Canis lupus familiaris: one gene and its partners. The protein of the gene in region 2 purifies or fractionates together with the protein of the main gene of each other region. This does not show direct contact. Links are inferred from orthologs where the notes say so. Each region holds a gene or a part of one and is shown on either strand. Other genes may lie near its edges. The genes, in order: MED20, MED9, MED16, MED8, MED1, MED19 and MED23.

What was found.
Region 1: the proteins of MED9 (region 2) and MED20 purify together in Homo sapiens (affinity purification with mass spectrometry; 6 studies listed by BioGRID and IntAct, with this or other methods). This does not show direct contact. The link is inferred for Canis lupus familiaris from reciprocal best matches to the Homo sapiens genes MED9 and MED20.
Region 3: the proteins of MED9 (region 2) and MED16 purify together in Homo sapiens (affinity purification with mass spectrometry; 5 studies listed by BioGRID and IntAct, with this or other methods). This does not show direct contact. The link is inferred for Canis lupus familiaris from reciprocal best matches to the Homo sapiens genes MED9 and MED16.
Region 4: the proteins of MED9 (region 2) and MED8 purify together in Homo sapiens (affinity purification with mass spectrometry; 5 studies listed by BioGRID and IntAct, with this or other methods). This does not show direct contact. The link is inferred for Canis lupus familiaris from reciprocal best matches to the Homo sapiens genes MED9 and MED8.
Region 5: the proteins of MED9 (region 2) and MED1 purify together in Homo sapiens (affinity purification with mass spectrometry; 8 studies listed by BioGRID and IntAct, counting the BioPlex papers as one, with this or other methods). This does not show direct contact. The link is inferred for Canis lupus familiaris from reciprocal best matches to the Homo sapiens genes MED9 and MED1.
Region 6: the proteins of MED9 (region 2) and MED19 purify together in Homo sapiens (affinity purification with mass spectrometry; 6 studies listed by BioGRID and IntAct, counting the BioPlex papers as one, with this or other methods). This does not show direct contact. The link is inferred for Canis lupus familiaris from reciprocal best matches to the Homo sapiens genes MED9 and MED19.
Region 7: the proteins of MED9 (region 2) and MED23 purify together in Homo sapiens (co-immunoprecipitation; 3 studies listed by BioGRID and IntAct, with this or other methods). This does not show direct contact. The link is inferred for Canis lupus familiaris from reciprocal best matches to the Homo sapiens genes MED9 and MED23.

The regions. Positions count from the first base shown.
Region 1 is NC_049233.1:10,766,670-10,770,810, reverse strand, and holds the start of MED20 (mediator of RNA polymerase II transcription subunit 20), read left to right. Parts: upstream 1-1,341; 5' UTR 1,342-1,480; coding exon 1,481-1,494; intron 1,495-4,141. Other genes in the region: BYSL (bystin), read right to left, coding at 657-924. UniProt on the Homo sapiens protein: Component of the Mediator complex, a coactivator involved in the regulated transcription of nearly all RNA polymerase II-dependent genes.
Region 2 is NC_049226.1:42,179,985-42,182,434, reverse strand, and holds the end of MED9 (mediator of RNA polymerase II transcription subunit 9), read left to right. Parts: coding exon 1-132; 3' UTR 133-1,950; downstream 1,951-2,450.
Region 3 is NC_049241.1:58,257,802-58,261,301, forward strand, and holds part of MED16 (mediator of RNA polymerase II transcription subunit 16), read left to right. Parts: intron 1-419; coding exon 420-626; intron 627-826; coding exon 827-1,037; intron 1,038-1,347; coding exon 1,348-1,481; intron 1,482-1,829; coding exon 1,830-2,022; intron 2,023-2,354; coding exon 2,355-2,571; intron 2,572-3,500. UniProt on the Homo sapiens protein: Component of the Mediator complex, a coactivator involved in the regulated transcription of nearly all RNA polymerase II-dependent genes.
Region 4 is NC_049236.1:16,880,952-16,885,200, reverse strand, and holds the start of MED8 (mediator of RNA polymerase II transcription subunit 8), read right to left. Parts: upstream 2,801-4,249; 5' UTR 2,748-2,800; coding exon 2,742-2,747; intron 1,229-2,741; coding exon 1,110-1,228; intron 187-1,109; coding exon 42-186; intron 1-41. Other genes in the region: KICSTOR complex protein SZT2, read left to right, coding at 3,011-3,037. UniProt on the Homo sapiens protein: Component of the Mediator complex, a coactivator involved in the regulated transcription of nearly all RNA polymerase II-dependent genes.
Region 5 is NC_049230.1:22,947,970-22,951,469, reverse strand, and holds part of MED1 (mediator of RNA polymerase II transcription subunit 1), read right to left. Parts: intron 2,460-3,500; coding exon 2,405-2,459; intron 2,302-2,404; coding exon 2,169-2,301; intron 1,477-2,168; coding exon 1,448-1,476; intron 1-1,447. UniProt on the Homo sapiens protein: Component of the Mediator complex, a coactivator involved in the regulated transcription of nearly all RNA polymerase II-dependent genes.
Region 6 is NC_049239.1:38,957,943-38,962,040, reverse strand, and holds the start of MED19 (mediator of RNA polymerase II transcription subunit 19), read right to left. Parts: upstream 2,801-4,098; 5' UTR 2,593-2,800; coding exon 2,325-2,592; intron 1-2,324. Other genes in the region: TMX2 (thioredoxin-related transmembrane protein 2), read left to right, coding at 2,980-3,168. UniProt on the Homo sapiens protein: Component of the Mediator complex, a coactivator involved in the regulated transcription of nearly all RNA polymerase II-dependent genes.
Region 7 is NC_049233.1:365,064-368,563, reverse strand, and holds part of MED23 (mediator of RNA polymerase II transcription subunit 23), read right to left. Parts: intron 2,061-3,500; coding exon 1,936-2,060; intron 1,517-1,935; exon of another isoform or gene 1,370-1,516; intron 805-1,369; coding exon 599-804; intron 511-598; coding exon 330-510; intron 1-329. UniProt on the Homo sapiens protein: Required for transcriptional activation subsequent to the assembly of the pre-initiation complex. Component of the Mediator complex, a coactivator involved in the regulated transcription of nearly all RNA polymerase II-dependent genes.

The DNA of each region.
Region 1 (4,141 bases), on a different chromosome or scaffold from region 2:
TTTATTTATTTACAAGAAACACACAGAGAGAGGCAGAGGCATAGGCAGAGGGAGAAGCAGGCTCCCCGCTGGGATCCCGACGCGGGACTCCATCCCAGGACCCCGCGATCCTGCCCAGAGCCCAAGGCAGATGCTCAACCACTGAGACACCCAGGTGTCCCAAAACTATACTTTCATCATGAAATGTATTATTCGAATCGTCAATTTAATTGTCTCTCAGGTTAGACTGTAAGATCTTGAAGTCAGGGTCATGGCTATCTTGCTTCCTTTTTTACTCAAAACCATCTAAACTCCTACCTAGCACAGTGCAAAGTACGGACTAGACAACCTACAAGAATGTACAGAACAGATGGATAAACGTTAGGAGTGCTCAATAGTGTGACCAATTAACTTCTTGTTGGTCTAACTTAGAGACTGCCTAGACGCAAGCATCTAAAGCAACAAGTGGGCATAGAGAGCTCTGACCACCCTGAATCTATTCCAGGGCTGGGTCTCCCATTTCATCACCTTTGCAAGGGTGTGATGCGGACTCCTTATTCAATTTCACTTTTTTTATTCCAAAGGATTCCCCTGGCAGAACCTTTTGGCCGTCTATCTACTTCCCCCTCCCTCCAAAACTAACCACCCTCTTCCTGGCACCCCCCTCCCCCACTTACCCAGACGCGTGGTGCGCTCGCGCGGGGCTGCGGCCTTGTTCCCAGTCCCATGCTCGGTCTCGAGTTCCTCCTGTTGCTGCCGCGCTTGCTGCAAAATCCGTCGGGTCAGCCGGGGCCCCACATACTCTTCGTCCTCCTCTCTGGTCCCACGACCCCGCCGCTTCTCCCGGGGCCCTGCCCGCGCCGCGTCCCCAGCCAGGATTTGCTCAGCCAGCGGCGCATGTTTTTCCTGGCCTGCAGCTCCGCGAGCCGGCTTGAATTTGGGCATTTTTTTCCAGAACTCTGCCAGAAAGGTTTACACGTGGGGTACAGACGAGGAAAAAAAAAAAAAAAAGCCTTGAGCGCACTTGCGCCGTGAAGTCCCAGCTCCCAAGAGGCCCCCGCGGAGCTCACAGCGCCTCCCGGCGTCCGGAGGCCGGGAAGGCCATCAGCGCCGCCACACCCCGTAAGAGCGGGGCCTGGAGCCAGCCGGTCCCCGAATGAACTCACTGCTTCTAACGCTGGCTTCTGCAAGTGGTGGCAGTCCGAGCGGTGGTTTTCTACTTTCATAGATCGAGGACCTCTGTTCCCAGCCAAACGTGGACTTGCCTAGCTGCAAAGCCGGGGCCAGAGTTGGGTAGTGACGTCACTGGAGGCGTCACCGAGGAGATGCCTAGACCTGCCCCTGTTCCTCGTGGGCGCGTCGACTGGACGCTCTCCTTTTGCGTCATTTCCGGAGCACCTCCCTCGGCCGAAGCTTTCGTTAGGGGTCTTCACTTAGTGTGGGCGGCCAGAGACTACTGTGATCCGATTGTTTGTTCCTGCCATCCTCCTGGCCCGATACCATGGGAGTGACTTGGTAGGCCCGCAGGGGACTTTTTTGGGCGGCGCTCGGGGTCGGGAAGGGCCCCGGAGCCCGGAGTGTACCGGGAGGAGGGCCGGGACCAGGGACCGCGGTCCCCCATGAGCTGATGAAGATAAGATATCTTCGGAACGTGTGGGTGATGGAGACGCTGCGAGGGCTGCAGATTCTCCGCGCTTGTTTGCTCGGAGACACTTCCCTTCGTCCTGAAAGGCGGCAGGTGAAAGGTTTTGTCCCAGGAGCCCATCAGTGGTTGTGTTCCTCCTTCCCAGGAGGCCATAGGGCTGCCCGAGGTGGAAATTAAGGATGCCCGAACTAGGACCCAATCTACAGGCGTAGCTAGAGGAGGTAAAGGATAGGCAACGAGGAAACCGTCTTTTTTTAAAGATTTTCTCCTGCCCCTCCCTACAGCCACTTAATGCAGTTAGACCGGCCCGTGTCTGGTTCTGGTGCGGCCGTCTTAAGATTTTCGGTCTAGAGGGAAAAAAAAAAAAAAAATAAGCAGCAGCAGCTGTTGGGAGGTAGATTGGGGTTTAGGCACGTCACCTCTTCAGAATTCGTTTCCTACTATGTTTAATTGTATGGTTGGTGTAACTAATTACTATGGACTTTTAATCTCTCAACATGATATAAGTGGGGTGGCAGAGAAAGGTATGGGCCTAATGCTCTTGGAGAAAATGCTAGATTTTAGGGATTGTTTTGTTTTGAGTACCGGTAAGTATTAGCACGTTTCTAGTTAGGGCTGGAGCCTGTGGGAACCACTCTTTTTTTAAAAAAAAATTTTAATTTATTTATGATAGTCACACACACACACAGAGAGAGAGAGAGAGAGAGAGGCAGAGAGAGGCAGAGAGACATAGGCAGAGGGAGAAGCAGGCTCCATGCGGGGAGCCCGACGTGGGATTCGATCCTGGGTCTCCAGGATTGCACCCTGGGCCAAAGGCAGGCGCTAAACTGCTGCACCACCCAGGGATCCCTGGAGCTAGTCTTTCTGATAGCTCAGGTTCTTGTAGGCTTGTCGGTTACTGCACCTGTGTTTTCTGCAATGGATATTTTAAGCCTTTTCTAAGTTTTCTAGTGTAAGGGAGTGTATGAGGGTTGGAAGGAAAAGCTTGCAGCATAGAGGCTTGGAACCTGAAAGCCCCTGTTCTTTCAGCAGAAGACAGAAAGATGGAATGGGCCCTCAGTCTGTTGGGACCCTTAGCAAGTATATCACACTCCTGGTATTTCGGACCCGTGTAACGTCAGTTTAGATATTCTCTTATGTTTGTCAGTAAAGGCACGTTATCCATTGCTTCTGAGTTCATCTTCTGATGGAGAGTAGGGACAATTTTTAGCAACAGCAGTAGTCCCTCCTTTCCTCCCTCCCTCTGTGGTTGATTGATCATAAAGTAATGTCTTTGAGAATTCAGTAATATGTATGGTTTTTGTTTAGTTAAGTGTACCACCTGAAGTATTTATGAATTTTTTTTTTTTTGAATCTGTTTAGTTTTCTTAGAAGCATTTTAACCGGCAACTACTTGTTTAGGGAAGCAATCTAGTATAGTGAATAAGAACACAGACATGGAACCAGCATGCCTGGCTTTGAATCTTGGCTATACCACACCAAGCTATGTGACTTTGTGCAAGTTACTCAACCTCTTTGTTCTTCAGTTTCCTTACTTATTACAAGGAGATAAATAATAGTCATCTTCTAGGGCCGTTGTGAGGATCCAAATAGTTTATTTGTCTAAAGGCCTTTTGGACACTGCCTGGCACGTGGTTGGTGCTTAATGATTGTTACCTACTACTATTTTTTTTTTTTAAGATTTTATTTATTCATGAGAGACAGAGAAAGAGAGAGAGAGAGAGAGAGAGGCAGAGACACAGAGGGAGAAGCAGGCTCCATGTAGGGAGCCCGACTCGGGACTCGATCCCAGGTGTCCGGATCAGGTCTCGGGTTGAAGGCAGTGCTAAACTGCCGAGCCACCCGGGCTGCCCGTTACCTACTACTCTTAAGGGGAGGTCGGTTTCACTTACCATAGAAGGAATCTTGGAAATAACATTTTTATCTCATTGTTTTGATTTTATTTTTGTACATATCGTTGCCTCTGACTCCTAAAGATTACAGACTTGAGGCTTGCTTTCTCTTTGATCCTAGGGCTGTTGAATAGAATTTTCCATATTGGCGGAAATGTTCCATAACATCACTGTCCAATATACTAGCCTCTGGTCACATGTGGCTATTGAGCCTTTGAAATGGGGTAGTGCAGCTGAGCAGTTGAAGTTTTAATTTAACTTGTTTTATTAGTTTAAGTGTAAATAGCCACATGTGGTTTGTGGCTACTGTACTGGACAACACACCTTCAAAATGTTAGAGAATTGGTAAAAACATACTAACCTCAAACAGATTTTCCTAATTTAGGCAGAACTGAAGGAATTGCAAAGGACATCAGTGTTATGGATTACTCTGTGTGCCACCTAAAACTGCTTGAATGTTGGCACACGTGTCCTGGTTGGAAAATGCTGCTGTGATAGGAAGTTCACTAAGTTGGTAGGAGTGTCCTGAGACCTGTGTTCTAGTTCTTAGTGGAGCTGTTAGGAACTGTGAGCCTCTTATTTCCTCATCTTTAAAATGAGAGAGACGTTCAGGATACATGGTCTC
Region 2 (2,450 bases):
ATGCCGGGCATCCACCTGAGTCCTGAGCAGCAGCAGCAACAGCTGCAGAGCCTCCGGGAGCAAGTCAGAACCAAGAATGAACTTCTGCAGAAGTACAAGAGCCTCTGCATGTTTGAGATCCCCAAGGAGTAGATGAGGCCGCCTTCCAGGAATGCCTGAGAAAGAAAAGGGAGACCACGCGTCCTCACTGTCCGCCCCCCCTCCCCCCACACACACACCACCTCAGAGTGTAGATCTTTCAGACTCCAGCTGTGAACTTTGTAACCGAGAGGCCTGGGGGTGGGGGGCTGCTGCTGTAGCTGCTTCTGTAGCTGAACTTGGCATTGACTATGTGAGGAGCCAGCGTGCAGGCTTGGCTTTGTCAGGGCCTCCTTGTAGTGTATATATCCATATGTCTAGATGCATAATAACTTGAGTGCCTGCTGGTGGAAGGAAGAATGTTCCTGGAGGCTGGGGAGGGGGTAGAGGATTCTGCTCCTGCTTCCGGTGAGGGGGCCATCTGCTGTGTATTCAGGCTCCACTGGCAGATCGGGAGAGCACAGGAGGAAAGAAGGTGGCTCCTCTTTGCTTCCTGCCCTCCCTCTTCTCCCACTCTGGGTATGCTCCGTGTGTACCAGGTACATGTTCTGTTAACAGCAGTGTCATGAAACATTTGCATAGAATTCACTGGACAAATTGGAGCTGCACTCATAGGGCATGGATTTCAAGTATTAGAAGAAAACCAGGAAAGCATGAATATTGTTCTGAAGGACTGCAACAGGGTGACTTCCTCCCTCTCCCGCCCCCACTGAAAAACTTTGTTTCCTTTTTATGTTTGAGCCAGTGAATATAATTGGGTCTTTGGGGGTGTCAACCCAGAGCCCTGCAGGCACCTTCTGTCTTAGGTTCTCTGCCACCTACGTGTCCTGTTACTTTTAGCTCTTGCTCCCTTTGTCTCCTGTGCCCTGGAGTCAGCTCATCCAGCCATGTAATGCTCGAGAACGACCAGACCACTTCAGACCCCATGGTGCTTCCCACGGGCTGGAGAGAACCATTGTCTCCACACAGGCTTCCGGGTGAGCGGGCCCTGCCTCTTTTCATTTCAGATTCCTCTTGTCCTGGTTTAAAAAATTAGTCTCCCGTCTGGCCTTCTCACTGAAGAGTCGACCGAACGTTGACTGCACTGCAGAGGTGACCATGATGCACTGTTCAGAGAAGGGTGGCTGCAGTGACCGTTCTGATCACCCATCAGTTCCGAGTCCCTTCTGAAGGATGAAGGAGGGCGACCACCTACAGCCTGGAGTTCTGCAGCCCCACTCTGGTTTCATTAATATTCAGAACGTCCCTCATTTCTGCCAACAGGACTTTTATTTGCGTGCTCTTCGCTTGACTGTCAAACTGACATGACAGCCTCTTAGCCTCTTAAAGACGAGGTGAGAAGTAGTCACATATTGTTTAGATCTAGAAATGGGCACATAACCTGTGCTGAGAAAGCCAGGGGCTTAACAGATGCCCGCCGATTGACCTCGTTGGCAGAGTACTGGTTGGACATGTTAGCAGGGGTTCCATTTGTGCTGCCCCACAGCCACCTGTCAGAAGGTGGTTAGTGCATGGGGCACTGGGACATGTGAAGGGCGGTATTCGGTTTCAGTGGCTTTGGACAGAAGAGCGGGCTCTGAATTGAAGTGGGTAGCCGCCTAGTCAACCACTCCCACCCTGGGACTGTTATATTTAACTGAATCAGTTATGGCCTTGAAATTTCAGGGTAGTGTGGGCCCGTTTTAAGGCTCTGACCAAATAGGAAACACAAAGCATCTAGAAATATAACCAGCGAGGCTTTTCCGCACGGCTAAAACGGATGAGGGCTCTTCCGAGGGCAGAGGGAGATGGAATCTTCCCTGTGTTCCAGGGTTTTGCCTTGTGACATTTTTCGAGAGTATAATTAAAAGAACTTGTACTCTGCTCTCGGGACACCTTGGTTTTTGTACTGAGAAATTCATTATAGGATGTCTCTTGGATAATTGAGAGGAAGATGTTCACTTTGCTTAAGGGGAGACAGAACGTATGGTGAGAACCTCCTCCCTCTCAGCACGCAAATGGCAAAACCACTGTCAAAACCGAGTAAGTGCCCTGAGGAGAGACATCTGTCCCCAAGGACCCCGTTGGCCTGACGGGTCATCCTTCCCAGCTGGGCCTGGCCCTCTGGGCCAGGCCTGGGCTCAGTCCCCAGGGCGCAGTCCTCCATGGAGCAGGGTGGAAATCCCTCCTTGGGACTATACTGAATGCCCCTCCCAGGGTTGAGCACCCTGAGCCACCAATTATTTGCTGGGTGGCAGGTACTTGGAATAAGTACTTATCAAACACCTCACTCCTCACAGTATCCCCACCCAGAGGGTGCTCTGTCTTGTGGATGAAGAATTTGAGGCTTGGCAGGTATCACTTGCCCCAAGCTTGCAGTTACAAGTGGCAGA
Region 3 (3,500 bases), on a different chromosome or scaffold from region 2:
ATGGTGTCCTAGTGTCCATGAGGCCGGCCAGCCCACAGGCCTCTCCTCGCGGTAGGAGCCGTGCTCCTGCAGAGCAGGGGCTGTGTTTGCGGGGACCCCGTGGCCCTCGGGGGACCTGCCGCTTAGCCTGACAACAGGCCCAGTGCCCGGGAACGCCCACAGAGGTAGCGAAGCCCCCAGCTGTTTGGGGAAGCTCTGCTGTGGCAGAGACGGAGCACCCGCGGCTTCCCTGTGCCAGCCTCTGCCTCAGCACCTCTGGGGCTGCCACCTGCCCCCACGGGCTGGACCCGAGGCCCGGAGGGAGCTGGGAGCCTGGGGTCACTGGGTGCAGGGTGGGCTGCAGGTCCGTCCAGCACTCCCCTCCCTGTGCGAGGACGCCGCTGGCTCTGGCCTCACCGGGCACCTCCCTCTCCCGGCAGCTGAGCATGCTCCGCATCTCGCCGTCCATGGGCCACACGCTGGACGTGAGCCTGGCCCTGCGGCACCTGCTCTTCCTGCTGGAGTACTGCATGGTGACCGGCTACGACTGGTGGGACACGCTGCTGCACGTGCAGCCCGGCATGGTGCAGAGCCTGGTGGAGAAGCTGCACGAGGAGTACACGCGCCAGAACGCGGCCCTGCAGCAGGTAGCACACTCGCGGGGCGCGCAGGCCGCTCTCCCTCCCCGTCAGCTCTCCGTCTCCAGCCTTTTCTGTGGGAGATTAGGGCCCGTGGGAAGAGTGGGCCCCACTTGCCCTGCGCAGTCGCCTCCATCCTGCTCTGGGGAGCTGCTTCCCGGGCCCCGTGGGGTGCCCCTGCCCGTTCCCACCACCCGCCGCCCCCCCAGGTCCTGTCCACCCGGATCCTGGCCATGAAGGCCTCCCTGTGCAAGCTGTCGCCCTGCACGGTGGCCCGCGTGTGCGACTATCACGCCAAGCTCTTCCTCGTGGCTGTCAGCTCCACGCTCAAGTCACTCCTGCGCCCTCACTTCCTCAACACACCTGACAAGAGCCCCGGCGACCGGCTGACGGAGGTCTGCACCAAGATCACTGACGCCGGTGGGTCCTGGCCTGCCCGCAGAGAGCAGCCTGTGCCCCGGGGATGCTTGACGCCCCTCAGTGTCCACCGGGCGCCAGGCGCGGGGTGGGCCTGGTCATCACAGGTGGGCAGAGGTGTCCCAGCGTCCACGGGGCTGACCCCAGAGGGATGTGCTGTCCCCACGGGGGCCCAGCGTGGTGGGGGGGTCCCTCTAAGGCCCAGGCCTGGCTCGCCGCCAGGGCTACGGGGCTGGGGATGGGACCAGGCGTCCCCGTGGGCACGGGACACCGCGAGGCCCGGTGGGTGTGGCTGACTGCCCGCATCCTGCAGACATCGACAAGGTCATGATCAACCTGAAGACGGAGGAGTTTGTCCTGGACATGAACACGCTCCAGGCGCTGCAGCAGCTGCTGCAGTGGGTGGGGGACTTCGTGCTCTACTTATTGGCCAGCCTGCCCAACCAGGTGCGGCCCCCAGCTGCGTCCAGGCCCCCCACCCCCGGCGCCGCCACCCCCCCCCCCCCGCTGGCCGCTGCCCCCCGCTCCCTGCCGCACACCTGCCCCAGTCCCAGGCCACGAAGGCCGCCGAGTGCATCTCCCACCTCAGGTTCAAATCCACGGCAGCTGTAGCCATGGTCCCCACATCCCCGCCAAGCCCCACTTTGTCCTTGCACACACATTAGCTGCCGGCGGTAACCACGTGGTGGCCGGGTGCTGGACCTGCTGATTGTTCCGGAATGCCCGGGCCCAGGGCTGCCCTGGTCTGACTCCTGCACGCTCTGAGGGGTCCAGCCCGAGCTCCTCTCCCCACAGGGCTCCCCGCTGCGGCCGGGACACAGCTTCCTGCGGGACGGCACCTCGCTGGGCATGCTGCGCGAGCTGATGGTGGTCATCCGCATCTGGGGTCTGCTGAAGCCCAGCTGCCTGCCCGTGTACACGGCCACCTCGGACACCCAGGATAGCATGTCCCTGCTCTTCCGCCTGCTGACCAAGCTCTGGATCTGCTGTAAGACTGCACTCCTCAGCTCATCCCCCCACCAAAATACAAGTCCTGGCTGACAGCTCCCGTCCCCCACCCCGTCAGACTGTCCTGGCCGCCAGCGCCCAGCACAGATGCTCATGAAGGTCAGCACCTGTTTGCTGGCCTGGTGTCACTGGGCCGCATGTTTCTGGTAGGCTGTTCTCTCGTCCCTGCATCCCTGAGGCCAGGAGGGGTCCCGGCTCTCGCTGTGCGCTCCTGACCCAGGACATAACCCAGGCACCCACTGGTGCCTCCAGGTGGGCAGTGCTCTGGGCAGGGCCGCGGCACGCAGCTCCCCCATGGTCCCCTCCCCGCAGGCCGTGACGAGGGCCCCACGAGCGAGCCGGACGAAGCGCTTGTGGACGAGTGCTGCCTGCTGCCCAGCCAGCTGCTCATTCCCAGCCTGGACTGGCTCCCCGTCAGCGACGGGCTGGTCAGCCGCCTGCAGCCCAAGCAGCCCCTGCGCCTGCACTTCGGCAAGGCGCCCACTCTGCCCACCAGCGCCAGCACCCTGCAGCTGGACGGCCTCATCAGGTGTGTGCCCGCCTCTGCCCCGTGGCCCCTGTGCACCGGGCAGCTGCTGCCCTCTGACCTGTACCCTGACACGGCCTCGAGACCCTTGCTCAGCCGGTCACTCCTCTGCTCCCACCTGTCTCCATCCCTGCCTTGGGTCATCTGTGTGATGTCACCGTCCCTCTGGTCCGTCACTCCTGCGTGACACACTTGCCTCCAGCCCCCCCTCAGGGCTCTAGCATGTACTGCGTGGCCCCCGGTGGACAAACCATTACCCCAGGCGGGCTGTTCCCACAGCCGAGGGGCGGCCTCCAGAGCCGGTCACGGGTAGCTGCTGTTGGATGGTGTGGACTCGGCCCGTGCTGCCCAGTGACGCACGGGCAGGGTTTTATCCCCGCTCTTTAGGCAGGACAGGTGTCCCGACCGTCAGACGAGGCACCTCCTCATTTCAGGCCACCGGGTGGACCGTCGTGCATGAGCTCCCCACGCGGTCTGTGTCTTTGGGTGGAAATGTCAGAAGGCAGCAGCGAGCCAAAGGAAGGAGGGTGGGGCCCTGTGGCCCCTCTGGGTGAAAGGCTTCGAGCACCCAACCCTCTGCATCTTCCTTCTCGTCTCGCGGAGGGAGGACCGGGTTTGCGTTTGAGTTTCAGGAAAAACCTGAACACAGGAGGGGCTGATGGGACCCCCGGGTGGCTCAGCAGATAAGCGTCTCCCTCGGCCCAGGGTGTGACCCCAGGGTCCTGGGATTGAGTCCCACATCAGGTTTCCTGCAGGGAGCTTGCTTCTTCCTCCGTCTGTTTCTGCCTCTTTCTGTCTCTGCGTTTCATGAATAAATGAATGAAATCTTTAAAAAAAAAAAAAAAGGGGGGTTGCTGATCACAGGGAGGTTTTAAACTCATTGTTCTGGAAACGGTTTAACATATCCGATATCTTACATGCCGCCCAGCCCC
Region 4 (4,249 bases), on a different chromosome or scaffold from region 2:
AGAATTTAATTTCCCATGTTATGCCCTTCTTCTCTTCTTACCATGAGATCTTCATCACGGTCTGGAGACAGCACCAGGGGGATGATGACCTGGTTGCGGAACAGCGGTGTCTTTTCATGCTTCAAGACCTTGTTCAAAGTGTTCAACTGTCCAGAGAGCAAGGCGAAGCTGTCCAGGACAGACGGCCTGGTAGTGGTAAGAAGGTGTCACAATGTTCTCAGTAAAGTAGCCTCGAAGGGGTCTTTCAGACTAGGAATACCCAGGCTCACTCGAAAAAGACTCAGAGCACTACAGCTGGACTGGGCAGGAACCAGACTGGATCCCAGGGATTGTGGGGTTATGAAAACGGGACACGCTTTTAGTTTCTAACATGGATGGAGAAATAAGGCAGCTCATTATTTGAATGGGGTAAAAGACCAGTGGCAAAGTAAGAACCATGGCTATGCTTATCATTAAAAATTTATAAACTGAGCAAAAAGAGATCTTTCAGGCCTGAAAACAGGATCCACACTTCCAGAGTAGGTTGGACCTAAAAGACTCAGCAATATCTATCGTAAGAGACCCGAGATGAACGCTGTACTCTTACTATAGTGGGAGGACCCACTGACGGAGTACCTCCTCCCAAAGAAGTCAAGGGTGACAATCAAAAGCTAGAAAAAACTTGGGTTGGAAAACTGGGCATTTCTCTATTTCCGTGCCACAGTGGCCCTAAGACAAACTTCACTTGTTAAATGTTGGGAAACATAGATCTTTTCAAATTAAAAGATGTTTGCAGGACAGCACGGGTAGCTCGGTGGTTTAGCACCGCCTTCAGCCCAGGGCGTAATCCTGGAGACCCGAGATCGAGTTCCACGTCGGGCTCCCTGCAGGGAGCCTGCTTCTGCCTCTGCCTGTGTCTCTGCCTCTCTCTCATTCTGTGTCTCTCATGAATAAATAAATGAAATCTAAAAACAAAAAACAAAAAAACAAACTTGGAAATTTAAAAGAAAAAAAAATGTTTGCAAAGTGATAAATTGTGACATCCCTGGAGATGTCCTATCAATCAGGAGGCCTGCCCCCTCAACCCCCACCCCATGGAGCCCTCCTCAGCTTGCCCTGGCAACCCTTACCAGGTCAGCCGGTCATACTCGTTCTCCAACTTGTATATGAAACTCCCCAGTGAGTTCTTCAGATCAGCCACTTGACTCAGCAGTGCATCTAATGATGCCTCCAGCTGCTTCTCCTCCCTCTGCACCAATAGGAACAGGTTGGTTACCCAGATAGGTGTGGCTATGTCGTATACAGGGAAGGCTGAAAAGCCGGGATGACAGTATGCAAAACTAGTCAAGTAACCCAGGATCTCACTGGTGCAGGAAAGCCAGGCTGTTCTCTATCTTTGGTATTTGGGTTACAGACAGCATCAATTCTTAGACCTTTCAATCCATTTGCCTGACCTCAATTCCTCCTTTCCCTCATTGTCTGCTAATTCATGTCTGGCTTTCCTCTGTATTAGACACTCTCTCAGGGAAGCCCGCGTGGCTCAGCGGTTTAGTGCTGCCTTTGGCCCAGGGGCCGTGATCCTGGGGCCTCAGGATTGAGTCCCATGTCGGGCTCCCTGCATGGAGCCTGCTTCTCCCTCTGCCTGTGTCTCTCCCTCTCTGTGTCTGTCATGAATAAATAAATAAAATTAAAAAAAAAATAGAAACACTCTCACTGAGGCATTTTTTTCAGACATAATCCCTGGGCTTTATTAACTTTTGTGTGCCTCTGCAGTATTTTGTCTTTCTCTTGTCCTAGAACTTGCCTTGTGAGCCTGGAAGTTCTTGCCAGTCACATAATCTCCGGAAAACATACTCATGCTTGTGGAAACGAAGGAAACTAAGGTTTCCCTGAAACTTGTACCCCACGGCCCCTCCCCCACTCCTCATCTGCGTCAGCATTTGAAGTTTTCAAGCTTCTTCTTGCTGGATTAGTCGGCATTCGCTTTATCTCTGTGCCCTTCGCTTTATCTCTGTGCCCGTATTCCTGCGTCCCTTCCACAAGCTCACTCAGCCTGAAGACATTTACTGACAGCCAACCAGGTGCAAGAAAGTAAGTGGCAAGTGAAAAACAAAGACAAAACGCACATGCTCCTAGGCGCCAGAGACACAATTTTAAAATGCTGGGGTGTCTGCAGTTTCCTCCCGTCTGTGGTCTCCAGTTTTACTCCATTTCTTCATCCTCAACAACTAACAGGCTCAGGCTGGGAGAAATGATGCAGAGCTGTCTTGCAAACTCACCAAGGGGCATGAGGAGGGCCTGGATCCGGGGCTCCACTCACAGAGCCTCAGATTTTAAGTAGCTCGGCTCTGGGCCTCCCTCCCCTTCCCCCAATCCCTCGGGCTCCTCTGCAATTCCATCCAGATCCCTCACGTCTACATCCAACAGCTTGGGCAGGGGCCGGAGCCAACTTGCATTTTCTTGAGCTGCCTTCCTTGCATTGCATATCAACCGTCCCAGTTACCGTAGCCTGATCCCTCCGTGCACGCCAGCTAGTCCACGCAGCCTCCTTCCCCACGACAAGGCCCCAACCTCCCATCTCTTGCCAGGTGGGCCCCACCCCCACCGCTCCAGTCGTCCGCGCCCCCGCGGGCCCTTACCCGTCAGCTACGCGCTCTGCCCCTCCAGTCGGCCCCGACTCCTCACTCTCTCCTCGGCCAGCCCATTCTCAGTCCTGTCACCTGAAGCTAGCTAGCGGTTAACAGCCCCAAGCCCGCTCTCACCTGCATGGCGATGGCGGCGATGGCGGCTATAGCGGCGGCGGCGATGGCGAAGGCGGCGATGGCGGCGGCGGCGGCGGCGGCGGCGGCGGCTTCCGCTTCCGGTTTCCTAGTCGGCGATCCACTCTAGAGGCCTCGTCCCCCAATCAGAAAACTCAGGGAGAGCGCGGCCCGCCCACTCACTTCCGGTTCCGGCGGGTCTCCGGGAGCCGGGTCAAGGGTCAAGAGTGGAGCATCTTCTCTGGCCCGGGCCGGCGCGGGAGGGCTGTGTGATGGCCTCGGAGCGCCCGGAGCCGGAGGTGAGGGGCGGGCGGGCGCAACGCAGGGCGCTGGACCCCGGGCCCCGAGGAGGAGGCCTCCTCCCGGTTTGGGGGCGGCCGGGCCGCGTAGCCTGCGCAGGGACCGGCCCGGCCCCAAAGGCCCGACCACTGACTGAGCCTCCTCCCCGCGGCCCGCAGTGTCGTCGTGGGGGCGGCTAGAGCAGAAACCCGTCGCTTTGTTTTGTTTATTGAAATTTCAGACACGTCCCCGGCTCCAGGGCTCTCGGATTCTTCGGTCTTTAATATCGATGTTAACAAAACCTGAGGTTTGATTTTTCTACCGCAGTTTCCGTGGGCAACATGGCACTAGTACGTTGATGGTTTTTGCATTTCTGCAGGCATTGGAATGCCGTGAACAGCGTGAGTTAACTTAGTTGTAGCGCTTATGCACTTAGGGAGCAGCTTTGGTTTCGTGGGAAAAAAAAGAAAAGAAAAAACATTTGGCTCAGAGTGAAGTTTCGTCCCAGTATTGGTGTCGCCATTTAGCTGTCTGTGCAACTTTGGGCAAGTCTTGACTATCCCGATCCTGTTTCCTTCTTCATTAAGATACCTGCCTTACGGTGTGTTGTGAGGACCTTCTGCATTAAACCAGAAAATGCATATGAGCACCCATTAGGTGCTAATGAAAGGAACTTGTACGTACATGATGTTACTCAAACTTGTGCCAGGGAGGTGGCAATATCCATTTCTCATTTGCAGATAAGGAAACCCAAAAGTGAAGGTTAAGTACCTTACCCAAGTGCTGCTGAGCTGGGGAGTAGCAGAGTTTTGAAATTAGAAGATCTGAGCATAAAATCAGATTTGGAAAGAACATCACTAAAGGAAGTGCCCAGTATTCTAAGAGAATATATGAGTAGGTGGGAAGGGTGAAGGATGTGTATAGTGACATAAATAGTAGTTATTACTTAGTGAATGCTTACTGCATGCCAGGCACCATTCTCGACACTGCAAATATCAGTTAGTGCTCTCATCCCTAGATGCTTTTTATCATCTCCATCTTTCATTTGGGGGAAATTGAGGCACAGAGCTCACCAAGCAACATAGTAACACAGCTAGTAAGTAGTAGAGCTAGGAATCCCAAACAGGGGGCCTGGCTCCAGGTCTTATGTTCTTAAACTTCGTGATTATAGTATAACAACATAACCACAGGATGGTAAATCTCCAGTTTGTGGGGATTTGGTGTGATGAGAC
Region 5 (3,500 bases), on a different chromosome or scaffold from region 2:
TTCTTTCTGAGCTTCTCACTTCAAAGTAAGCTTACAAGTTAACTTTAAAACACCACCGGAAAAAAAAAAAAAAAAAAAAAAAAAAAAACACCACCGGTTCGTAAATTGGTGGTCTCCTACTCTAGATTAGAACCAGAAATACTGGCTTTCTGGACTATTCTAGCAACACACTTTTGCTAGACTTAATTGATTCAATTAAGTCATAAAAAATGCTATTTTCATATTGCATTGCAGTTTTTAAAAGGTGGTTCAAATTTGGTGCTTTTGGTTATGAATACATTAAAATGATCACTGCAAAGTCTGAGTATAAAACTTTCCTCAATATTAACATCTTAAGACACTTCCATGAAGTATCTGAGAACTTTGCTATATTTAAGACATAAAATTAATGTAATGACTTTCTCAAAATCCCAGAAAGTAAATTTTCACTCAATTTAAAAGGAAAGGATAATCCAGAGGGAAATGCCATCAACTGCTAAGAAACTTTTTAAGTCTAGCATTTTTACTATGATGGGAGTTTATTACATAAATACTTTAAATGTAAAACAATTTTTCTCAAAGCGAATAAAAGTTCTTTCCATGTATAGACTCAAGTTTCTCAACCCTTAGCTGATTTAATAATTAAGTTCTATTTATTTTTGTTGCACACAGAATTCTTGAAGCTAGGTCAGTAGTTTTCAACCAGGAATGATTTTGCCCTCCAGGGAAAATGTGATGATATCTAGAGATATTTTTGATTGTCATGGGTCAGGAAATACTGACTAGTGGCGAGAGATCAAGGATGCAGTTAAACATCCTACAGTGCACAGGGCAGCCCCCTAGAGCAAAGGATTTTCCAATCCAAACTGTCAATACTACTAAGATTGAGAAATCCTGGGATAGATGGAGTAGGTTAAAAAGCCAAGCTAAGTCAATTCTGAAAGTGAACAAATACAGATGCTGAAAATCCTGATCCAAAAAAAATATGTTCCTCAGAAGAGTAACTTTTTTTTTTTAATGATTTTATTTATTTATTCATGAGATACAGAAGCAGAGATACAGGCAGAGGGACAAGCAGGCTCCCCGCAGAGAGCCTGATGCGGAACTCAATCCTAGGACCCCAGGACATGACTTGAGCCAAAAACAGCCACTCAGCCACTAAGCCACTCAGGCGTCCTCAGGAGAGTAACTTCTGACCAACCTCAAGACTGACTTATAGGGGTGTCTGGGTGGCCCAGTCAGCTAATCGTCTGCCTTCGGCTCAGGTCGTGATCTCAGGGTCCTGGAATCAAGCCCCACATCAGGCTCCCCATTTAGTGGGGAGCCCACTTCTCCCTCTGCCAATCCCCCTACTTGTGCTGTCAAGTAAATAAATAAAATCTTAAAAAAAAAAAAAACAAAAAAAACACAAGCCTAGCTACAAAGAATTATGTGCCAGTATCAGGGTATATAAATGTCATTTGCTTACCTTAGCTGCTGTACAAGTTCTGGACAGCTCTGAAATTAAAGAAATCACATTAAAACTTTAAACTACTTTAAGGCCTCTGAAAACATCAAAAATTTTTCTCTTTTGTTAGGAGCATATGCTTTATAACAAAAACATTAAAACTACAAAAAATCCTTACATTAAAATATCAAAAAGCATCTTCTTCCTACTTAATAAACCATAGGGTTGAGGTGGGAAATTAAATCTCAAAATATATGAAATAATTTATAAAGGAATCAACTTTCAGGAGCTTGTTTGAAACATTAGGACCTCTCTTTAAGTCCATATTCAATTGTCTGTTTACAAATATTAAATGTTCATCTCTATTACAGGATTTTTCAGAGACGTTAGCTATGTATAAGATTATCTGTCCTTGATTATTAGCTCTTTGAGGATAGGAACTTTAAGTTATTTATTTCTGTATCCCCAGCACCTATTGTTCAATTGCGGCTCATGTTTGTTGATATGAAATGGAAAGTGTTCCTCTAGTGTCTCCACTTGTCGAAGCCTTTGGATGATGTCAGAGATGGACCCATGTTATTCTAAATTCTAGAGCTACTGATAGTATAGCCCATCACATCATCTCTACAGTGGCTCATGAAAAAACCTAAACCCAAGCTATTTCAAACCCCAACAATTCATTTTAAAATTAATGTCCCTAAGTAAACCCCACAGATTCCAGTGAAATATCAACAACACATACCACAGGATTCTCCCCATGGTGAGCCACTTTTACATCACAAAGCTGTCCTGCAGGATCTAACTGCACTTCCACATAGAACATATCTGACGTGATGTAACATTCAGTGCCACTGGCACTGAGATGAGAGCCCAGTCTAGCAGGAACAAATCAAAACAAAAATTAATAGAAGACACATAAATAAAGCCACCCAAAGTCAACACTAAGTTAAATACTTCTGCCTGTGATAGACTACTTACCCATTCTGTCTTGCTATAGACTCCAAGCGGTCAGTCATTGCTGGTAAAGATGTTACTAGGAAAGGGTAAAAAAAAAAAAAAAAGAGAAAGAAAAAAAGAAAAAAGAAAAGAAAAAAAAGAAAAGAAAAGAAAAGAAAAGAAAAGAAAAGAAAAAAAGAAAAAGAAAAAAGAAAGAAATCACAAAACGCTCCAAACACTTAAATTTTATTCTTCAAAGACTGAAATATCCGAAAGAGTATATCCATCCTTCCAAGTCATTACATTCAATAGTTCAAATGCTTGTTAATTTGAACAAGTTCATTAGTAAGACTTAGTTGTGACCTAGGCAGTAGTAAGGGTCCAAAAAAAGATATATTTAGGGGTGGGGCACCTGGCTGGCTCAGTTAGTAGAGCATGCAACTCTTGATTTTGGGGTCATGAGTTGGAACCTCATGTTGAGGGGAAGGGGCCTTACTTTAAAAATCTATTTTTAAAAATTGTTGGACCTTTCTCCTCTTCCTTTTGCGTTGCTCAATTAGGACAAGTTATCTTTAACTTCAAAAAGACACCTGTATCTGCTAATGCTAGAATAAAGAAGATTAATATCAAAACCAAACCAACATAAAAACAAATATTCAATATTCACAGCAGCATTATTATTTCTAAAGGTGAAAACAAACCAAATGTCCATTCATGGGTGAATGTAGAAATAAAATGTGGTACATACAATTATTTAGCTTTTTTAAAAAAGGAAATCCAGATACATGCTACAACATAGATAAACCCTGAAGACAGTAGGCTATGTGAAAAGCTAGTCACAAAAGGACAGATACTATTTGATTCCACTTATATGAAGTATCTGGAGTAGACAAATTCTTACAGACAGAAAGCAGAATGATGGTTACCAGCAGTTGAGGAGAGGGAGAAAGAAGTTATTGTTTAGTAAGTACAGAGCTTCAGCTTAGAAAGATGAAAAGGTTCTGAAGATGGATAGTGGTGGTGATGGTTACACAACAATGCGATGGACTTAACGCCACAATTTTTTTAAAAAGTACCATCCTCTGTCTCTACATATTTCCAGATTGGGAAGGGCTACCAGAGTTTTTCAATATGCAGA
Region 6 (4,098 bases), on a different chromosome or scaffold from region 2:
GTTTGTCTTAGGAAAATTGATGTAATTATAAGACAGTTATTCTAAGTTTTCTTCACCCATATGAAATTTCCAAGGTTTGGCTCAAGTGACAACTCTGTCATTTTGGATCAAGGAACACATTTTGAAAACCAACATGTAGTTTTTTGTTTTTTTAAGTAGACATCTACTCTCAGTGTGGGGCTCGAACTTACAACCCCAAGATCAAGAATTGCATGCTCTACCTACTGAGCCACCCAGGGGCCCCCATCATGTAGTGCTCAATAGTATATGAGGTATGATCACGAAGTAATGAGATCAGCCTTAACAAGAAATATAGTCACTAACCTTTTTTTTTAAAAAAAGCTTTCTTTTTTAAAGACTTTATTTATTCATAGAGACAGAGAGAGAGAGAGAGAGAGAGGTAGAGACACAGGCAGAGGGAGAAGCGGGCTCCATGCAGGGAGCCCCACACGGGACTCGATCCCGGGTCTCCAGGATCACGCCCCGGGCTGCAGGCGGCACTAAACCGCTGTGCCACTGGGGCTGCCCTATAGTCACTATCCTTAAACCACATATGTTATATCCCTATGTAAAATAAGCTCCTTAAAAGCAAGGGCTAGATTTATTCTTTTCCTTCTCATCAGGTGCCCCCCTTCCTACATACTTGCCCCAAACAGGTAGTAGCATCTGTCAAGTGGTTGATATAAATAGGTACAATTTTATAAATAGAATAAATAAGGTTAGAGAAAGTGCTGGTAGACATCAACCCCTAACTGACCAAAGGAGAGTCAACCTCTCTATGCTTTAGTTTTATTCAAGTGTAACATGCCTATCTCAAGAGGCTATTCTCAGTATCAAATTCTATTACATACCTAACTGCAACTGCACTGTGAACTTCAAAGCACCAGGCCAATATGCATTATTATTTCCCTCAACCCCTGATGTAGCAGTAGAACTTGGGAGGAACTGAGGGGCAACTTGGAGATTTAACGTGTCCAAAGCGACTCTTGATTTCCATTTCCTCAAACGTGTTCCTTCTTGGTCTTAGCACTACCATCCACCCAACTATTCAAGCCAGGAATTCACAAGTTCCTCCCTACTTCTATATTCAACCCTTCATTCCTCTAAGCTCTGCCCCTAACATTTACCCTGCATCAGTTCACTTCTCTCCTGCACTGCTACTGCCTAGTCCAAACCATCATCTCCTTCCGGGACTACTATGCAGTAACTTCTGGCTGATTTCCCCACTTTCCATTCTTAATGTAGTTGTTTGGATAATTAAAAATAAGTAAAATCAGATCGTGTCACTTTCCTGTGTGCTAACATGGCTCCCCCTGAGGGGCATCTGGCTGGCTCAGTTGGTACAGCAGGTGGCTCCTGATCTCGGGTGGTGCATTTGAGCCCCAGTTTGAGTACAGAGATTACTAAAAAAAAATTTTTAAAAATACAACGGCTCCCCTGAACTTAAAATCTAAATGCTTTACAAAGGCTGTCTCCCCCACGCCCTCCATCTCCTATCACTCCTTCCCTTGAAACTTCACTGGAGTCCAACTGGTCTTCTGATCCTCGGATAGTCCATGGTTTTCCCTCACACCAGGGCTTCTGACCTCATTTCTTGCGTGTTATCTCTCCCACTCACACGTGACTGGCTCTTTACGCTCAAATATTATCTACGCGGAGATGGCTTCTTTGATCACTCTGGCTAAAGCCTCAACTCTTTATCACATTTTCTCCTTGTAGCACTAACCACTGTGTGATGTTATCTAGTGCACTGTGCCGCCGCCTCCTTTGAAATGTAAACTCCAAAACAGGCAGAGGTACCTGTCAGCCCTAGTCACTTCTGTATCTTAAGCATTTAGAACAGTGCTTTTGGTACACGGTAGGTGCTCAACAAAACAATTCTTTGGTTCGAGTCTCCTCCCTCCTTCGGGTAGTTGAGGAAACGCGGAAGCCCTCAGGAAGACGGCAACACGCCTCAAACCAAGAGCATGTCTGTGACAGATCTGGAAAACCTTAGGTCTGCACGGATGTTAAATCAGGCGTCTCGAGTTCCAAACTCAAACCCCGGAGAGTTTTCAGGGAACCATAAGCTAGCATCAGGGACAGAGCCAGATTCGGTGTGAAAGATGGGTCGCCGAAAGGCCTTCTCTCCCCCTTCCCAACCAGGCCAAAAATTCATGTCAACCCTTCGGTCGCGAGTCCTCAGCGCCCTCCCGACTCGGAGCTCCGAGGCCCGGCACGCGTTGCCTAGGATACCCCGCACCTCCCCCGGCTGGCCGAGAGCCACGCCCACCGCCTCCTCGGTACGATCCGATTGGCTGCCTTCTGCCAGGCCTAGTACTCACCTGGCAGTTCCCGCATAAGGTAGAAGGGACCGCAGCCAGCCGCCGACTTGTCGGCGCCGGGGGGAGCCGTGGCCGCGGTGGACGGCGGGGCCGTGCCGGGGCCCCCGCCCGGAGGAGGGGGAGGAGGAGGTGGAGGCTTTCCTGGTCCGAAGCCGAGCGCGCTTGGTGGTGGTGGTGGGTCAGCTTGAGCTCCGAACAGCGCCGAGAAATTCTCCATCGTCTCCTCCGCCCCGGCGCGGTCCCTGTGTCTGGCGTCGGTCGTTTTCATTGGACAATCCTCTCACGATGTCCCGCCCCCTTCCTCTAGGAGCCGCTTTTCATTGGGTGCCCCGCCTACCGTTTTCTGGCAGCTACTTCCGTCGCTTTATGAGAACGTTCCGGAAGTGCTATCTAACTTGCAGAGATTCCCCTAAAGGCCGTCTCCGTGCGCCACCGCCGCATATCCAATAAAATGACTTAAGTGGAGAAAGCGACATCTAGGTCGGCCAATAAGACGTCAAAGCCCCTTACCTTCCGCAACGTCCAATCAGAGATCTACTTCCGGGCGCGGAGGCGGTGCATCCGAGGCCAAACCCAATGGAAGGCTCGCTGGTGGAAGGGGCGGGGCCAGACCTACAGACGCCGAAGCTCCGCGGGCGCCGCAAAGGCCGGAAAGATGGCGGTCCTGGCACCTCTAATCGCTCTGGTGTATTCGGTGCCACGACTTTCACGATGGCTGGCCCGACCTTATTATCTCCTGTCAGCCCTGCTTTCTGTTGCATTCTTACTCGTGAGGAAGCTGCCCCCTCTCTGTAGCAGTCTCCCCACGCAGCGCGAAGACGGCAACCCGTGTGACTTTGACTGGGTGAGCGGACCCCGCGACCTTCACTGTCCCTGCTCCCCGAGGTTGCATGCGGGAGCCTCGAGGTCCCGAGCCCGTCGCGGCCTCACAGACTATTAGAATGTGGGGCCTGGAGCATCGTCGAGCCTAAACCTCTTCGTGCTTCATTGAGATGGGCAGACAGCGGGTTAGCCTGCACGGCCGCCTGGCTCTTAGGATTCTGGAGTGCAGGGTTCTTCCCATCGCCCCGTTCATGCTGGTCAGCGGCCGTACCCAAACTCGCCACGTGTCCAGTATTTCACAGGGCCGCCCTTTATGTAAAGCTTCTGGAGGAGCTGGTGAGGTATAAACAAGGCGGGTCGTGGTGCCCCCGTTTAACTGATGGAGAGCTTGACCTCGGCGTAGTCGCCAGGGAGCCCACCGGTGAGGGACTGCGACCCGCAGCCACCCCTGCACGCTTTGGCAGCCGTTCCTGGATTCAGTTAACACTCCCAGGGCGCGCGTTACCTGCTAGGCCCGCTGCCGCATTCCGAGGATGCAAAAACATCAACACAGGCGTTAGGCCCGCTGAAAAGGAATCGTAAAAACAAAATTGTAAAGAAATCTCCCTTGAGACTTGCTGTCCTCGAGTAGGTGCGGAGTAAAAGGAGTTGAAGCTCTGTGCGCCCTGCTGTACAGCAGCGGGTGTGTTCTGCGGGAAGGGAAGGGGGGTCAACCTGAGTTTTCGTCTTTTTTTTCTTCCCCAGCCCCCAAAGTGAGTCTTGACCTTTACCAGAACCCACTCCCTTATTTTGTTCCTCCATCCCTTGTTAATGCTTTCCTACATCCTCTGTGCTTTCCCAGACACTATGACAAAAAAAGCTCAAGTGTAGCCATGCTTGTTTAGAAGTTCCTATTTTTTTTTTTAAGATTTTATTTATTTATTCATTAGAGACACACACACACACACACACA
Region 7 (3,500 bases), on a different chromosome or scaffold from region 2:
TTACCAGTTCCTGCCTCTAATGAGAGCCTTTGGGAATCAACTCAGGGCCTAATTGCTTGTACTTTTTACAGCATCACAAGGCCAGATCATGTCTGCCTTATTTACTTCTATATTTTCTGTGCATAGAACACAGCAGATATTTAATACACACTTGCTGAATGAGACAATGGGAAATCTCTAGTTCCTTAGGGAAGTGATAACAATGCTTGATTATAGTATAATTGCCTTAAATCCTTATAGATCATCAGCACAAGATCCATCAATCACACACCATGATCTAAAAGAGAGTGAAGTAGCTTAGAAACTTGTTCTTATAAGCATATTCTTACCAAGCAGAGAATCAATCTGTCCAATGTAACAATGTTATACTTCCATACCATGTCATTAAGAATTTCAATGCATTTGTTGAGTTGCTGACCTCCAGCTGATGTAGAGAACTCATATACTAAGAAATCTGCAAATGTTCTCACATGGGCTACCAAGGCCCTGGCTCCAATTCTTTCTAATACTCTGGAAAGCAGAGAGTAAAAACCAAGTTATATTGCTATGTGGTATAACAGCTTGTTAAATAGAATGCAGATCTAGGTTTCTGGCTTACCTATAGCCAATCTGATTAATATGATCTGTTTCCAAGAGCATTTTCCAGAGAAGACAAAGGAAGAGCGGAGGAGAGCCTTGCATAGAGAAGTGGGTAATGATGTCATTTTCATTGGTCATTGACTTCCACTTCCTATATTCCTCCTCCACATTTTTTTTCAGATTAAAACGGCTTTCCTGAGGTACATTATTCTGCTTGAAGAATGCCTAAAAAAAAAAGATCAAAAGTTTACTTTTATACTAAAATGAAGAGCAATGGCCAGAGTCAAGAAATCAGTTCTGGACTTGATTCTGACACTAATAAACTCTATGTGACCTCAGGTAATTAAGTAATCAAGGTGTGAATTTCTTTTTTTTTTTTTTTTTTTTTCAAGGTGTGAATTTCTATAATGGGAAAATATACAGGCTTGACTAGATAATCTCTAAGATTCCTTTCTTAGATTTCCTAAATAGATATTCCAAGCAAGCCTGAATTCAAAGCTTCCTCAAACATCTGTTGATATTTCTGTTTGTCTTTGGGAAAAAGAAAAAAAAAAAAAAAGAAAGAAATTATGCGCCTTTTGGTTAAAGATTTTAGTATCTCTAAAAGGAAAATCCATTATACTAAACCAATGGGTCTCAGACCTCCTGTTTTGGAAGTTCAGCAGTCTGTATCTGATCAAGCCCTCTAGATAATTCTACCAAGTTTGAGAGTTACTTGCCCTAGCCCTGTTGGAAGTTCTATAAAGCAGATATTCATTATGCTTAAACTTTTCTCTGAAAAGTAGAGGACAGCTTTGCGCAGTGGCAGTATTGCAGCCAATGAGGTCTATCCGAGGCACGATTATTGCTAATTGAAAAGTAGAGGACAGATGAGGTTTTCCTTTTTCCATAGTATAAAAGCCAAGTTTGTAGTTTTTCTCTCTGTATGATTAAAAAAAAAATTCAGTCAAGTGCAACAATGTGTATTCTATGAAGCTCTGTTAAGTTGTATCTCTCCCCATTTCAGTTCTAAAAAAGAGAAAGAATTTTTCAGGTAATGTGTTAATTCTCACAACATTCTAAAATTGTTAACTAATAACATGAAACCATAATTAAATTTTTAGGAACGTATCCAGGCCTAGAGTAAGTCAGGGAACAACTCAAGAGACTTTGGAATAGTACAGGTTTTTAAAAAAAGAAACAGAAGCTAATTTCCTTTGGATATCGCTAAAACCAGCTTTCTAGAATTAATGGGAAGAAATGAATTAATGGGAAATTAATGGGAAGAAATGAATTAATGGGAAAAAATGATTTCATATATACTAAATGGAAGAATGATTTTGTATATATTCAATATGTAATTCAAGACCAAATTACCTGTAGTGGGCCTGGAAAACAGCTAAGAGTGTGTGATGCCCAATTATGAGGAGTAAAACTCATGATGGTCTGAAGTATGTCTTTACACCAAGTTCCCTGAATTGAATCAGAGCCTGTAAAAAAATCTAAACATAAACAAACAGAGGTAATCCAGATATAAATGATCATACCCATAATTCATAAATGGTATCATAGAAAAAGTTATGTACACGCATTGAATTCCATGGCAATACACTCACTGCTTAACTAGTTATATTCAGTTTAGACCTAAATTTTCTTAGTTTATGAATGATTTGAATGATTACATTAGTAAACATGAACACAATTAGTGAAAAGAAGACATTTCAATCTATTTTTTTTTTTTAAGTAGGCTCCATGCTCAGCATGCCTCGGGCCTTGAACTCATGATCCTAAGATCAAGACCTGAGCTGAGATCAAGAGTTGGACATTTAACAGACTCTCAGGAGCCTCTGTAATCTTTTTTTTTTTTTTTTTAAGGTTACAGAGCACCAATGATCTAATAGTGACATAGGCCCACCATGATCGCTCATGTAGTTCAGTCTGACAATGAGGTATCAACACTTTATTGAGCCAAGGAAACAGAATTGAGAAAATATATCTTTTCCAGTGGTTGAAATAGCTATAGACTATAACTCTCTAAATCAAGAAGGTTAATTTATTGGGACACCTGGGTTGCTCAGCGGTTGAGTGTCTGCCTTTGGCTTGGGTCGTGATCCCGGGGTCCTGGGATAGAGTCCTGCATCGGGTTCCCTGCAAAGGAGCCTGCTTCTCCCTCTGCTTGTGTCTGCTTCTCTTTGTGTCTCTCATGAATAAATAAATACATAAATAAATCTTAAAAAAAGGGTTAATTTATGTAAAATAAGACAGTTTACACAGATGTATCTGAGGTTGCAAATTCAGTAACTATTTCTTTAAAACAGCAGTTCTCAAAGTGTGGTCTGTGGACTCTGTGGGTCCCCAATATCCTTCCAAGGATTTGATGAGGTCAAAACTATTAAAATAGTAATACTAAGATAGTACTAAACTTTTTACTGTGTTCATATGTGTACCAATGGGGCAAAGGTAATGGTAGGGAAAACTGCTGGCCCTCAGAACAAGTCAAACAGTGGCACCAGACTATACTAATAGCCACTGTAATCTTCACTATACTCTCACTAGGCAGCAGGGCGGGGTGGGAGGGGGCCCAGGTTGGGAGAAAATGCAGGTTTTACTCTAGAATATCCCTGAAGTAGTGAAAAGGACTGTATCTTAGCCCTTAAATACATCTAATTTTGTTGTGATAAAAATGGAAGTATGCAGTGTCCTAGCTACACACTGAAGTATGATGGGCATCTAAAGGAAAAGTACTTGTGCAATTGTCTGAATATCGAATTAAATTAGCTCTTTTTTTTAAATGGAATTCCATTTTTACTTGAAAGAACATCTGACAGAAAAACTACAGTTATTCAGACTTGGGCAATAAGCAGCATTTTCTTGAACAAAGGGAACCTATTACTTCAAGGAAAACAAATGACCACATCTTTTGCCAATGATAAAATTTGACT